2 linked regions of the Danio rerio genome follow. The protein of the gene in region 2 interacts with the protein of the main gene of each other region in a pairwise test. Links are inferred from orthologs where the notes say so. Each region holds a gene or a part of one and is shown on either strand. Other genes may lie near its edges.

The links. The genes of interacting proteins can lie anywhere in the genome.
Region 1: the proteins of ubac1 (region 2) and trim2a interact in binary tests that used the Homo sapiens proteins (3 or more experiments, as listed by UniProt). The link is inferred for Danio rerio from reciprocal best matches to the Homo sapiens genes UBAC1 and TRIM2.

What each region holds. Positions count from the first base shown.
Region 1 is NC_133176.1:26,947,502-26,953,713, reverse strand, and holds part of trim2a (tripartite motif-containing protein 2), read left to right. Parts: intron 1-1,893; coding exon 1,894-2,620; intron 2,621-5,840; coding exon 5,841-5,944; intron 5,945-6,085; coding exon 6,086-6,212. UniProt on the Homo sapiens protein: UBE2D1-dependent E3 ubiquitin-protein ligase that mediates the ubiquitination of NEFL and of phosphorylated BCL2L11. Plays a neuroprotective function. May play a role in neuronal rapid ischemic tolerance.
Region 2 is NC_133180.1:55,324,557-55,331,505, forward strand, and holds the end of ubac1 (ubiquitin-associated domain-containing protein 1), read left to right. Parts: intron 1-1,257; coding exon 1,258-1,510; intron 1,511-1,638; coding exon of another isoform or gene 1,639-1,641; coding exon 1,642-1,728; intron 1,729-1,866; coding exon 1,867-2,005; intron 2,006-4,999; coding exon 5,000-5,115; 3' UTR 5,116-5,478; downstream 5,479-6,949.

The DNA.
Region 1 (6,212 bases), on a different chromosome or scaffold from region 2:
GGATTCTGGAATGTTTATTTGTAGCTTGTTGGGCATTTGGCTACCTAGAGCCAGGACTTGAACTCGGGTTGTGTAACCAGACTGCATGTAATAGTGCTGCCAACAAATCCGTCTCTTCCAAACACAAGTTGTTGCACATGTACAGTTATGGAGCATCTAGCTGATGTCTTATTTGGTAAAACTGAACGTATAATATTAATATAGCAAGTTTAGTTTCCTATAAATAAAAATTTGAGATTAACTTTGTTAATGAAAAACAAAATTCAACAGACATTTACCACAAATCCACAACTAAACTTTCTTAACAAAAATGCATTATTATATTGGATTACACATATAAAGTACATGAATATTAAAGTATATATCTGAGGATTAGTTTACGCAAAAAAAATAATTTTGTTATTAATTTCCCTCATGTCATCTCATACTAATCTTTTTAAAACATTGTGTATCTTTAGAACATAAATTCATATATTTTAGATAAAACCCAAGAGTTCTCTTATCTTCCATAAACAGTTATGGTCAGAGACACAAATAATCCAGAAAAGGAATCAAAATATTGTCAAAACATTCCATGTTACTTTATTGGCTCAATTTTAATCGTATGGAGATCCAACACTTTGGCACATGCTGTACGTTGTACATCCCTGTAATACACATGCACCCTGACCTGTCAGGAAGTTAAGTTTTAGAAGAACAAATTGTCCAGTCAATGTTCCTATTACTTTATTGTATGTATTGTTACTATTTCTTTGGCTATTTACTGCTACAGTAAAAGTGGATCTACAGGCATCTGAACCATGAGATGTCCTAAGTTACTCATACATGGCTTTTCTATCTTTGCATATTTCTTTTTGCTAAATAAATAACGACACAATGTGAGATGTTATGTGATGTTGATCATCTTCCAAATTTTAAAAGGTACAGTATGTAAAATTGACATAGTGGTTGACATGGGTATTGCTGTCCAAATTCAAAACACCGGAGTGGGTTTTTTTCACCCAGCCCTTCCTCTGACAACTCCACACACATGTAGGTTGCCAGGTTGACCACACAAACAGGAGCCAAGCATGCATAACTATCGGGCCTACAGTATACCGTGTCCTAAATACATGCAGAAAAGTGGAATCACTGACTTAAGCATTGTTTTTCAGATAAACGTATTATAGTAATTTGATGCTTTAGAGGAGTCAAAAACTCACATTGAGACCTGCAAAGCACCGTATTTTTTTTTATTATGTACTGCCATGCAACACTATTGAATGGTGTGTCCCACTATTCAATGGTGTGTCCTAACCTTTTCACATAATGGACCCTTTTCACACTTCTGGGTTTCTCAGCAGCAGATGTCATCACAGTTGAGTGAATTTAAAGCGCAGTGAATGGGAGAGTACAACAAATATTTGTTTACAATTCTGTTTGCTCTAATAAAATAAATATTACAAAGAAAATAATATCAAAACATTCAGAAAAGAAAAAAATTTGTGTGAGACTGATAAGGCAGCCAAAAGAGAGAACAATGTCAAATACACTGTCCCGCCCGTAGACACTGCATTAAAAACATAACTGTTTTTGTTTATAAGCTTTTATGTAATTTTACGCAAAGATAAGATAATACATACATAAATGCATATAAATGTGTATACATTTAAAAAAAAAATCTAATTAAGGGTTAAGGATGCTGATGACCATTAAACACATCGTGACAGTCTTGTGAAAGAGGTCCATTGTTTCTCAAATGTAACCAAATGCAATTGCTTATCAGTTCAGTAAATCGGCAGTGGCACCAACACCACCTCTCGCAAAATTTTATCAAACTAGCAGGAAAAAGGATCGCAAAGTGTGACCATTTACTCACAGAGGCCTGATATATGACTTGTATGTGATTTGCAGGTGTTGCAAACTCAGCTGGAGTCGCTGCTGCAGGGGCAGGATGGCATACGCAGCAGCTGCAGCTTCACCGAACAGGCTCTTAATCACGGCTCTGAAGCTGAAGTCCTATTGGTCAAGAAGCAGATGAGCGAGCGTCTGGATGAGCTGGCCAATCAGGAGCTCCCACTGCGGCCAGAGGAGAACAATCAACTGGACTTCCTGGTGGAGACTGACGGTCTTCGCAAATCCATCCACAACCTTGGTGCCATTGTAACAACCAATGCTGTTGCAGCAGAAACTGTAGCCACCGGTGAAGGCCTGAGGCACTGCATTGTGGGACAGCTGACGTCTGTCACAGTAACAACTAAAGACAGAGACGGCGGGCTGTGTCGGACTGGAAATGCTCTGCTCATAGCTGATCTTTCTGCTATTGATGGCAGCATCGTGGGTGAAGGCAAAGTCACGGATCATAAAAACGGCACTTATGAGTTTGTATACAGTGTCCCATGTGAGGGCCGCTTCACGCTTACCCTCAAGCTCTATGATCAGCACATCAGGGGCAGCCCATTCAGCATACGAGCCAACAAACCCACAGACATCTCTCTTACTGCAGATGTGGACAAAAAACGGCTCAAGTCTCCAGGAAACAGCCATGTGAAGCAGCGGGCCATCAAACGGCCTGCCAGCATGTACAGCACCGGCAAACGAAAAGAAAACCCAATTGAAGATGACCTCATATTCCGAATCGGTATGATAAGCATTAGAAATCAATGTTGTGACAGTCACTATTAAAGGCAATTGCTTTTGTTTGAGAAAACTTCAAACCTCAAACTTATTGCCCATTTCCACTAACTGGTTCAGTACAAGTTGGTACGGGCCACCTTTTAGGCTTGCATTTCCACTGCCTAAAAGGGTAACCTTTGGGTGGGTGTGCTGTATGACAGAAAGTTTCAGTCGACATCATTTTCGCTCAAGGAAATGTCAAAGTAAAGCTGTACGTGTGTTGTTTACATCATATGAAAAGCACTTTGCACAAAACAGATGCTTTATACACATAAATACTTGTGTATAAATGTTTATTACTAACTTTCCTATGAACATGATTTGATTATAACTGCAGATCAATAATAGTGCGCAATAGCCTACTGTAATCACATAAAATAAATAAATAAATGCAACATATATGAACACATAAAGCCCCTTACAGTATTTAATATGTTACCAATTACAGAAAAACAACACACAGCATACGTTTAATCCTTATTTGGGTTTAAAAACGACACGCAACATATAGCCCACAGTTAGAGCAAACCTCTCATCTGTATCTTTAATCTTCACCAGCACATGTAACCTCTGTTAGAAAGTAATTCCGTCATTCCGAGTTCTTAATGGAGTTCTTTTGTAAACTTCTAAGAGCCCAAAAAACCAGGGAGAATCTTTCGGTTGTCTTCAAAGCAGAATCCTTTTTAATAAGAAGAACTCAGTGTGGCTGTGGCGTCATCAAAAGCAAACTCTAAACTCCACAGCAAACATTATACATTTTATACATTTTACAGCATGTAGGTGGGGTTAGTCATGGTGGGGACAGTCAAACAAAGCATGCAAATGAAGTCTGGTTGTCTGCAGGGTGCCATGCTTTCTCCAGGTCTGATCTCATCAGTATATAAGTACATCATTACAACAATGTGCAAATGATGTTCTGGAGACAGAGAAGACAATAGATACAGCCAAGCTGTGAAACTGATAATTGCATCACTTTGGCTTAGCCTGTAGTCAGCAAGGCAAAGGTTAAATGTCCCTCCTAGCTGGCATGTCAATAAAATGATATAATTAAAAACCAAAGAATATAACTTTTCAGTTATACGTAGATTATTGTTCATTTGGAATTAGATTGTAGAAATGTATATTTCCACAGTTCAAAAACATGGCAGTTTGTTCATGTTTAAGGTTGGTGAAAGAATCATTTGTTTTTTTGGCTTCTCCTTTGTTTTTTCGCACTTCACTTTCGCGTTTATCCATTTCCAAAAGAATCAGATGTCAGAAGCACTTCAAAAATCACGCGCACGTTATTATCATCAGCTCAAGAAGTTTGTTATTTCAAATATAGATGCACGGCGAGTGTTTGCAAGCTCTCTGGAGAAAGTGAAACCGCTCGCACTTTTAGATGGCCTCTTAAAACAAAAACAGGACACTGCAGATTTTGTTCGTGGCTTTGTGGCCGTTTATCAAGACAACGACAAGGTTTGTCTGAGCTCGGGTCAACCATGGCTTGTTATTATATGCAAATAGTATTATGATATAATGTCTCGGCTGTGAATTTAAATATGAAGGTTCTTTTATTTTCATCCTGCACGAGTGACGCTTCTCTATAAACTAATAGCATTCAGTTGCGCGTCTTGCTCTGCTTTTTGGTACCATTTTGCCGTGTTAGGTACCCTTTTCAAAGGGTGCCCAAAAAGTGGTACGGTACGATTCGCTTTTAGGTATCTTTTGACAGTGGAAACAGCCATAAAAGTGTACTGAACCATATTATCCATATGGGCCATTAAAGGGATATTTCACTCAGCCTTTTGAATTTACGCATATTTAAGTGGTTCCAAACTTTGAGTTTCTTCTGTTGAACATTAAATCTATCTTGAAGAAAGCTGCAAACCTGTTACAACTGACTTCCATAACAGGAAAAACAAAACTATGGACAATAATGGTTACAGGTTTCCAAATTTCTTCAAAAAAAAATCTTCTGATTATTCTTAAAAATATATGTCAAACTGCTTTGGATCAAATAGAGGAGTAAACAACAAATATGATCATTTTGGGGTGAACTATACCTACTGTATACTCTAGTTCAAAGTCTTAAGACCAGGTGGAAAATGACAAGTATTCACATTTTGTTTCTGGTGGATCACAACAGGTTGTAATGCCAAAAGAAGAGCTTGAAGCACATGACAAAAAAACAGAGCAGGCAATGTCATTATCACTTTAACATTCATTTTGGCATGCTTTATTCAACAGTTTCCTGGAGGCAGTTGGGAACATTAATTCCATGTGGTGTAGATTGCTTCCCGAAAGGCATTCATGGTCTCGAACTGACAGACATTTTATGATAATAATTTTCAAAAGCATTTTACACAAAAACATACAAATATAAAACAGTTTAGAATAACAGTAAAATTGCATTATTTAAGATAAAACATTCAGAATGATAAAACATTAAAATATTTTAAAACATAAAACAAACCAGGAATGCACTCCTCATGAATAGGCGAGTGTAAAGTAGTGAGTTTTCAAGGATGATTTAAACAATTTAAAAGATTCAGCTAGTCTAATGTTATAAGGGAGAGAGTTCCAGAGACTCAGAGCCAGGGATGAGAAAGCCCGGTCACCCATAGAGTGCAGACGAGTGGAGTGGACTGTTAAAAGACCAGAGTCAGAGGAACGGCAGTCACGTGAAGGGGAGTACCATGATAGAAGTTCAAACTAAGTGGGGTGAGTGTGTGTGCTGCTTAAAAAGTGTGTGTGTCTTCCAAAACGAATGTGGAATGATCCGATTGGCTAGCTAATGATTAGCGATAGGGACCAGCTGCAGTCAATCCCATGACATGCACCTCTAGAAATTAGTTTGCAAAACTTCACTTATTATTGTGTTAAACTGGTCTATTGGTCTTAATAATTTGATCAGGAGTGTACATCTTGAAGGCCTGGTTTACACCTCATATTTAAGATTCTTTCATAATTGAGTCAGAAAATCAACTACTTTTCTCCCTTAGCTCACTTTCTTTGGTAATACATGTACATGGCAATTACTCTCAGATCTGCACCAAAACACTTGGTCCAAGATTGCATGAATGCTGAAAATTTGGGCTGAATATATTTGTTTTGTTTCTAATCATTTGAAACCTCAGTGGGGAATGTTTTGCATTTAATTTGCATTTAATGCTTATGTTAATAAAAAATATTTTGTCCCAAAGGAACAAAAGGCAGAAATAAGGGTGAATTTACCAATCTCCAGGGAGTTGCTGCTTCTTCTGTTGGCAAAGTCTTAATAGCGGATAGTAACAATCAGTGTGTTCAGGTATAAATTCCACACTTTAAAAATCTTTTTTTTTTTTTTTTGCTTGTTTTCTGTGGGTTGCTTAATGCCTGTTCAAATTACTGACATTTGTCATAGAAGAAATGATTCATTTAGTGTTGAATGTAAATTGTGTTCTTGCAGATATTTTCAAATGATGGCCAGTTTAAGAGTCGTTTCGGAATCAGAGGCCGATCACCGGGACAGCTTCAACGGCCTACTGGTGTTGCTGTGCACCCCAGTGGTGACATCATCATTGCTGACTATGACA
Region 2 (6,949 bases):
CGTCATATTAAAAATAAAATAGTAATGGCATTTCCTGTTTTCTGTGATTGAGCAGACTAATTTGGACTGTGCAAAAACAGCCTCACTGTGAAAAAACTGTGGCTTAAATTTCCAACCGCTGCGCGTCAAATGGGACTATGTTCTCAGTTGTATAAAGCAAACAGTTATGCAAATGTAAAGGTAATGTTGTTTTATAATAAGCAGCTCACGCTTGCCTCACGTCTGCAACTCATACTGTATCAGAGTCACACAAGTCTCCTGATTCACAAACTATGTATTTTTTCTTTGTGTGAACACTTTAAAACATCCTCATAGTTGTCCAAATTAACATCTTGCGAGCGTTTTATAACTAAAGTGAGTCCGTACAGGAGGATCTAGCAACAATCTGTGGTGTTTCATTTATGAACAGCCGTTCACCTTTCCTGTCAGCGAACTCTAATAATGTCCAGCTACAAACTAAACCACCATCAGATCGATTTTTTTCAACATATTTAGATGGTTGTTTCTTTATTTTACATTTAGGGTTGGGGTTAAGTGGATATAAATCAATAGATGAAGAAAAGGCCCAAATACTCTGCAGCTTTAAAGAATAACTGAAGGAAAGAATTCAGGAGCTTTGAACCTGTCTGTGTGTTTTTAAAGTTTTATATATATATATATATATATATATATATATATATATATATATATATATATATATATATATATATATATATTCTTATATATATATATATATATATATAACTTTATATATATACATATATACATAAAAAAATGTTGAAAAACTAGGGAGTAATAGAGGGCAAAATAAATGTTTTGCTAATAAATAAAGCTTTAAAATAAGCATTTTCTCTAGACCAGGCATGTCCAAACATGGTCCTGGAGGGCCGGTGTGCTGCAAAGTTTAGTTCCAACCCCAATCAGACACACCTGGGCTAGCTTATCAAGCTCTTACTAGGCTTTCTACTCTAAAAACATCCTTGCAGGTGTGTCAAGGCAAGTTTGAGCTAAAATCTGCAGGACACCGGCCCTCCAGGACAGAGTTTGGTCACCCCTGCTCTAGACAATCAGTTTGGGTCTTCAAAAATTTTTCAGAGAAAAAGGTGGGCCTCGAAGTGAAAAAGGTTGAGAACCACAATCTAGATAACAACAGATAAATGAACAAAAAAGATGGTTTTGTGGGTTATGAACTGTAAAAAATCTCAGCTCTCGTTGGGTTAAATAAAAGCCACTAATAACAAAGCACTCTGTTTGCAGCATGTCTGTGACCCAGGCTATGGAATGGCTGATTGAGCATGTTGATGACCCCATGGTTGATGCGCCTCTACCAGGACAGGAGAGTCCAGGGGCAGCCGCCGCTGCAGCGCCTGCTCCAGGAGCCTCTGCCACAGCTTTAGCAGCCCGTGCTCGTTTGATCTCCCAGGCCAGCATAGACGAGGCCAAACAGGATGAACTGACAGAGATCTTTAAAAGGATCAGAAGAAAAAGAGAGTTCAGACCAGACTCACGGGTTAGTGTCATGTGAGAGTCATGAGAAACACAAGAAGAACAGTTGAGTTTTAAACTCAAACATTGCTGTAGCACTAATATATGCCCAAGCCATTTTGAATGAGATGCGTTGTGTCGTTTGTGTGTAAGCAGGCAGTGATTGCACTAATGGAGATGGGCTTCGATGAGAAGGAAGTGATCGATGCTCTCCGCGTCAATAATAATCAACAGGATGCAGCTGTATGTAAACACTTAAAGAATTGTATCAAGTATATTGTGTCATTTCTTCTGCTAATTAAGATGCCTCAAATTTCTAACTAGTTATGATTCTTATTAAAGTGTGACTTGTTTTAATGTTAAATCTATTTTCCCACACAGTGCGAATGGCTGCTCGGTGACAGAAAGCCCAGTCCTGAGGATCTGGACAAAGGCATCGATACCAACAGTCCACTGTTTCAGGCTATCCTGGAGAACCCCGTTGTACAGCTTGGTCTCACAAACCCCAAGACTCTTCTAGGTGACTTCTCTCTCTAAATACGTATGTTTTTTGTTTGTTTTGTTTTTTTTTATAAATGAAAAGAAGGTTTGCCAGTTTACATAGACACATTTGTGAACAGGAATTTTATAGTCAAATAATAGTTGCAGTTTTATCTGCTGTGTAGTTTTCTGCTGGATAAAGGTATTTTTGCTGGTATCATGGAGGTTTTTCAGTCTTTATTTGATTCTGTTCATTTGGCCACTTATCACAGCTAGTTTTTCAAATTTTGAAAAGTAACCTCAGACTTTTATGCTCCAACATCACGCTCGATTGTAAGATGACGTTATTTGGGTGTTGTTCTCTCTGTGGTTTGTGTTTAACATAGCACTTTGCTGTCAGGCCAAAGTGCTCAATTTTCACTTCATCAAACCACGGCAGTTACTTTCAAAGCCATTCAGCTGTTGTCACGCGGCTTCTCACAATCTCCAGTTATAGTCTGGACTGGCATGGAAGTGACTTTCTTTCTAGCCACTCTCATAAAAAGGGCTTAATCTTTGGAGTGCTAAAAATATTAGTGATGGCTGGTCAGTATGTCCCATTTTTTTCCAATCGCAGTTCTGACAGTGACATCTTAGTTTCATTTTTCTTAACTTTGTGTTTTTGTCTTGTTGCTCCTCTTGGTTATGCTGAGTTTAGACTAGAGGATTTTCGAAGTAGTCGTTTCACAGGTGTTTTCACACTGCATGACTCTTTGGGGCAGCATTTAGTTGCTGCTGTGTTTACACTACAAGATGGATCAGCGATGGGGTTTCACACTGCATGACTTTACAATAGGAAAAATCGGCGACAACTTTGTCTGAGTCTGCAAAAAATGTCTCACAACCAAACAAGCAAAAATTAACATGAAAACAATGCAGGGTATACCCAGATAACGTTTTGTTATTAACTACATAATGGGAAAGAAGACTTTAGTAAGCTAGAAACTAAACTGGGTTTTGGAGGGAATTAGAAATTTCTCCTTAACTTTTTTTCTTTGTCGAGCCGGTCGTGGTATTCCTAAGATGACATGTCTAACACACACAAGTGCTCCTGACAAATGTACACTAGTTTTTCCTTCATTTCTTGGGTCCAAAAAAGACTAAAATGAAGCACTTATAATTTCTCCCCCAACCTTCCGCTGGCCTGCAGATACCTATACTAGTGGATGCTGCTCTCTCATTGGCTGAAGATGTTTTTTTCAATCAGAACACATTCCACACAGCATGATTTTGAATCACAGACTGCTCCAGATATTTAGCATGCCAAATATCTCACGGGTGTCAGTGACTCATCAGCGATTCTCTCAGATCACGTCTTTGATAGTTCTCACTGTGTGATAGTTACTCGCATGAACGAACACAGAGTTGCCTTTGATTTTTAGGCATTTGTTGGCGATTTCTCAAAACCTGTCGGCGAGTCAAAATCTGGGCTAAAATTGTGCATTTTGAACTCTGCATTAGTAGACAACATAAAGGGACCCAAAAATGAAATTTTACACACTATTAAAACCTGATTGGTAACACTTTAGAATAATGATCCATTAGCAAATTTTTGTTCATCTATTTACTGATATTAACCAAGTTTGAATAATGTTGTAATAGACAAATAGAGGAGGAATGGATCATTTTTAAAATATCTTCCCATTGACCTTCCTCAATACCAACACAAGGTCATTTTTCTCAAGATTCTTTGAGAGAAACTATAGGATCTGCGTTTAGTGTACTTATTAAATTATAAATAGCCGAAATTAGATGTTTCTGGTGAGTACTGAAGGAATAGTCAAGATGGTGTTCAGGGAAACAATTTCTTAACAAAGTGTCTGACCTGAAAGAAACAAAACAAATGACTGTTGTGAAGACTGTATTTAAAAAAAAAAAAGATGTGAATACCCCCTCCTCACATAAATCATTTACCTCAACAAGTCCATTAGCTGCCCAAGTGCGAAAAGAGTAATTAAAACAAGATTGTGAGAAAAAGTGTATTGTTTAGTATGGGCATTTTAATAATGTTAGTGACTACTAAGTTAGAAGAAATTCTGCTAATAGTTGATGAAAGCTGGGAGCTGAATGATCTCTGAGTGAACCAAAAGGAGACAGTAAATCAGCACATATTTAAAATGTTCATCTGTATTCATAGGCGTTGACCTATATGTCTCCAAGGCTAATATTTAGCTTTTTTTTAAATCATCTGATTTTTTTTCCTCTTATGTTTAGCCAATGCATTGAAAGCAGGACTACTATTTTGAAAGCACGAAGAACACTAGATAGGGCTAGGAACACCAGAGCTTGACACAATTCTAACATTTTTGGTTCTATACACCAACAAAATGGATTTGAAATTAAATGAACTTGTATGCTTTAACTGCAGATTGAACTCTAATCCGGCCTTCCTGTTTTTCTTGATTGTTGACTCTGACACACATACACTTACCTCCTGGAGAGTGTTCTAGATCTGGCCAACTGTTAAGTAGAAAGTGTTTTCGGCACAGGGAAATAGTTCTTTGGTCTTCCACCATAGTTGTTTTTTCAAGAATGTTCCAAACAGTTGTTTTGGCCACGCCTGATGTTTTTGCTGTCTTATTGATGGGTTCGTTTAGTTTTTTCAGCCTAATTATGGCTTGCTTGAGAGTTGACAGTAACAGAATCTAGATACAAATAGTACATTTGAAATGAACTCTGGACCTTTTATCTACTCATTGTAATTGGGATAGAGAGAGAATAACACACATCTGGCCATAAAACAGCTGACTAGCCAATTATCCAATTACTGTTGGACCCTTAACAAGTGGGAGGCACATCTGCAAACTGTTGTAATTCTTACAGTGTTCATCTGATTTGGATGTAAATACACTCAATTTAAAGCTGACAGTCTGCAGTTAAAGCACATCTTAGTTTAGTTTCAAATCCATTGTGTTGGTGAATAGAGCTAAAAATGCTAGAATTGTGTCCCAATATTTATGGGCCTAACTGTATCTATACTTTTGGGGCTTTTCAGCATTTGAGGACATGCTGGAGAATCCGCTGAACAGCACACAGTGGATGAATGATCCTGAGACGGGTCCCGTCATGCTCCAAATCTCCAGAATCTTCCAGACACTAAACCGCACATAAGCACACCTCATCGCTGGAGCAGCCGGAACCACAGTGCAGGGGAAAATGTAAATCGTTTATAAGAGAACTGTGTGAGTTTGTGTGTGTGTGTGTGTGTTTGTGGCTTAATTATTGTTTTAAGTGGGAAGTCACAGATGATGAATGTAAAAATACTATGATGACATTTTCACATCATGATATACAGAGGAAAATATCTATTTATAACTTTACTCAAGACTTGTACAAAGCAGTAACATAAAGATAAATCGCTAACTACATTATTTAGTTTTTTATGTTTTAGGAAGATCTGTTTTTAATTATGTTAAGCACATGCTTTATTTTATATCATTTCCCTGTGTAACTGTACAATTAGTCATCTAAAAAGAAAAAAAGGAATTTTGTATGTTACTTGTGCGCAAAGATCAAATTATAACCAAATTATATGACAGCTCACACAGTACATTTGTCATAACTGAATGTTTCTACTGGGAGGTAAACATATATTCAGTTAGTTTTATTATTGGTTCAAAAACAATTATGTGATATAATAGATGTTCCTTACACCCACATGAACTGAACATATGTTGGGGGAAAGCGAGCACCAGCAGTTTTTCTGCAATTCATTTAAAGATGATTCAAACATGGTACAGATATGTGATGTGGAGCTGACGGAAGCCCCTTGCGTACGCTGATATATGATAGATAATGAAATCTAACCTGATCCCTTTGTTTCTTATATCTCTCATTCTATTCATCTATAAACAGACTATTCAGGTGGAATCTGTCCAAATAGACACGAGTCAGTTTTTGTTTTGTCCTTTTAGAACAAAAATGTTATATACGTAAATGAGTACTGGATCGTTACCTTACTTTACTAGCCCCTGCATCAGGGGTTTTCAAGTGATGTATTGCAGTACCTTTTTATTATCCACTATTATGATCAAGCTGCTGCCTCTATATTGCTGTACTTACAGCAGGCTGGGAAATCAAGAAACTTGTTTCTGCCATGGAAAACAATTGAAATTTACATTATATTATTTTATACAATTTATATTATTTCTATAAAACAGTTTATATTTTACAATTCAGACTTTTCCTCTGAGATTTGTGAATTAAATCTCACATTAGCATGTTATGAACTTATATTTGTGAACTGAAAGTTCTACTATATTATACTAAATGCCTAGAATTCTGAATTTAAGTTTGGTGTTGTGAATGAGTCAGGATTGTGAGAGCGTGCTATTTCAAAAATCACAATAAATAAATAAATAAAAATGAAAACTGCAATAGTGAGATATAAATGAAGAATTCTGACTTTCTTGCAATTGCAGGTTTAATTTGGAGGTTTCTTATTGTCAGCAGTGGGTATTGTTTCACTAATTAATCATTTGAAATTAAATAATGAAAAAATGACTTTTCCGGAAATTTCCGATTGGTTGTTGGTTTATAAACTTTTTTTTTATAGATTTTTGTTAGTACATGTCGTTCTTAGGATTTAAACTGACTGATGATACTAGGCTGCAGGACTTATTTAAAACAATACAAGTAAACAAATTTAAAATCAGGACATATTTAAGTATATAAATGAAGAAATCTGACTGACTTGTCTGTAATTGCAAGTGTGATTTGTATTTTTTTCAACAGTTGCTATCTTAAAAGCCTGCAGATGTACAATTGTAAGAAATATATACTAAAATCTTTATTGTTAGCAGTGTGTATTGTTGTACTAATTGATCATTAAAAATGAATTAATGAAAGAAAAAAAGAGCTTAATTTCCACAAATATCTGTTTGGTTGTTGGTTTATTTACATTTTTTTTCCCCCATAGATTTTTGTTAGTACGTGACTTTCTTGG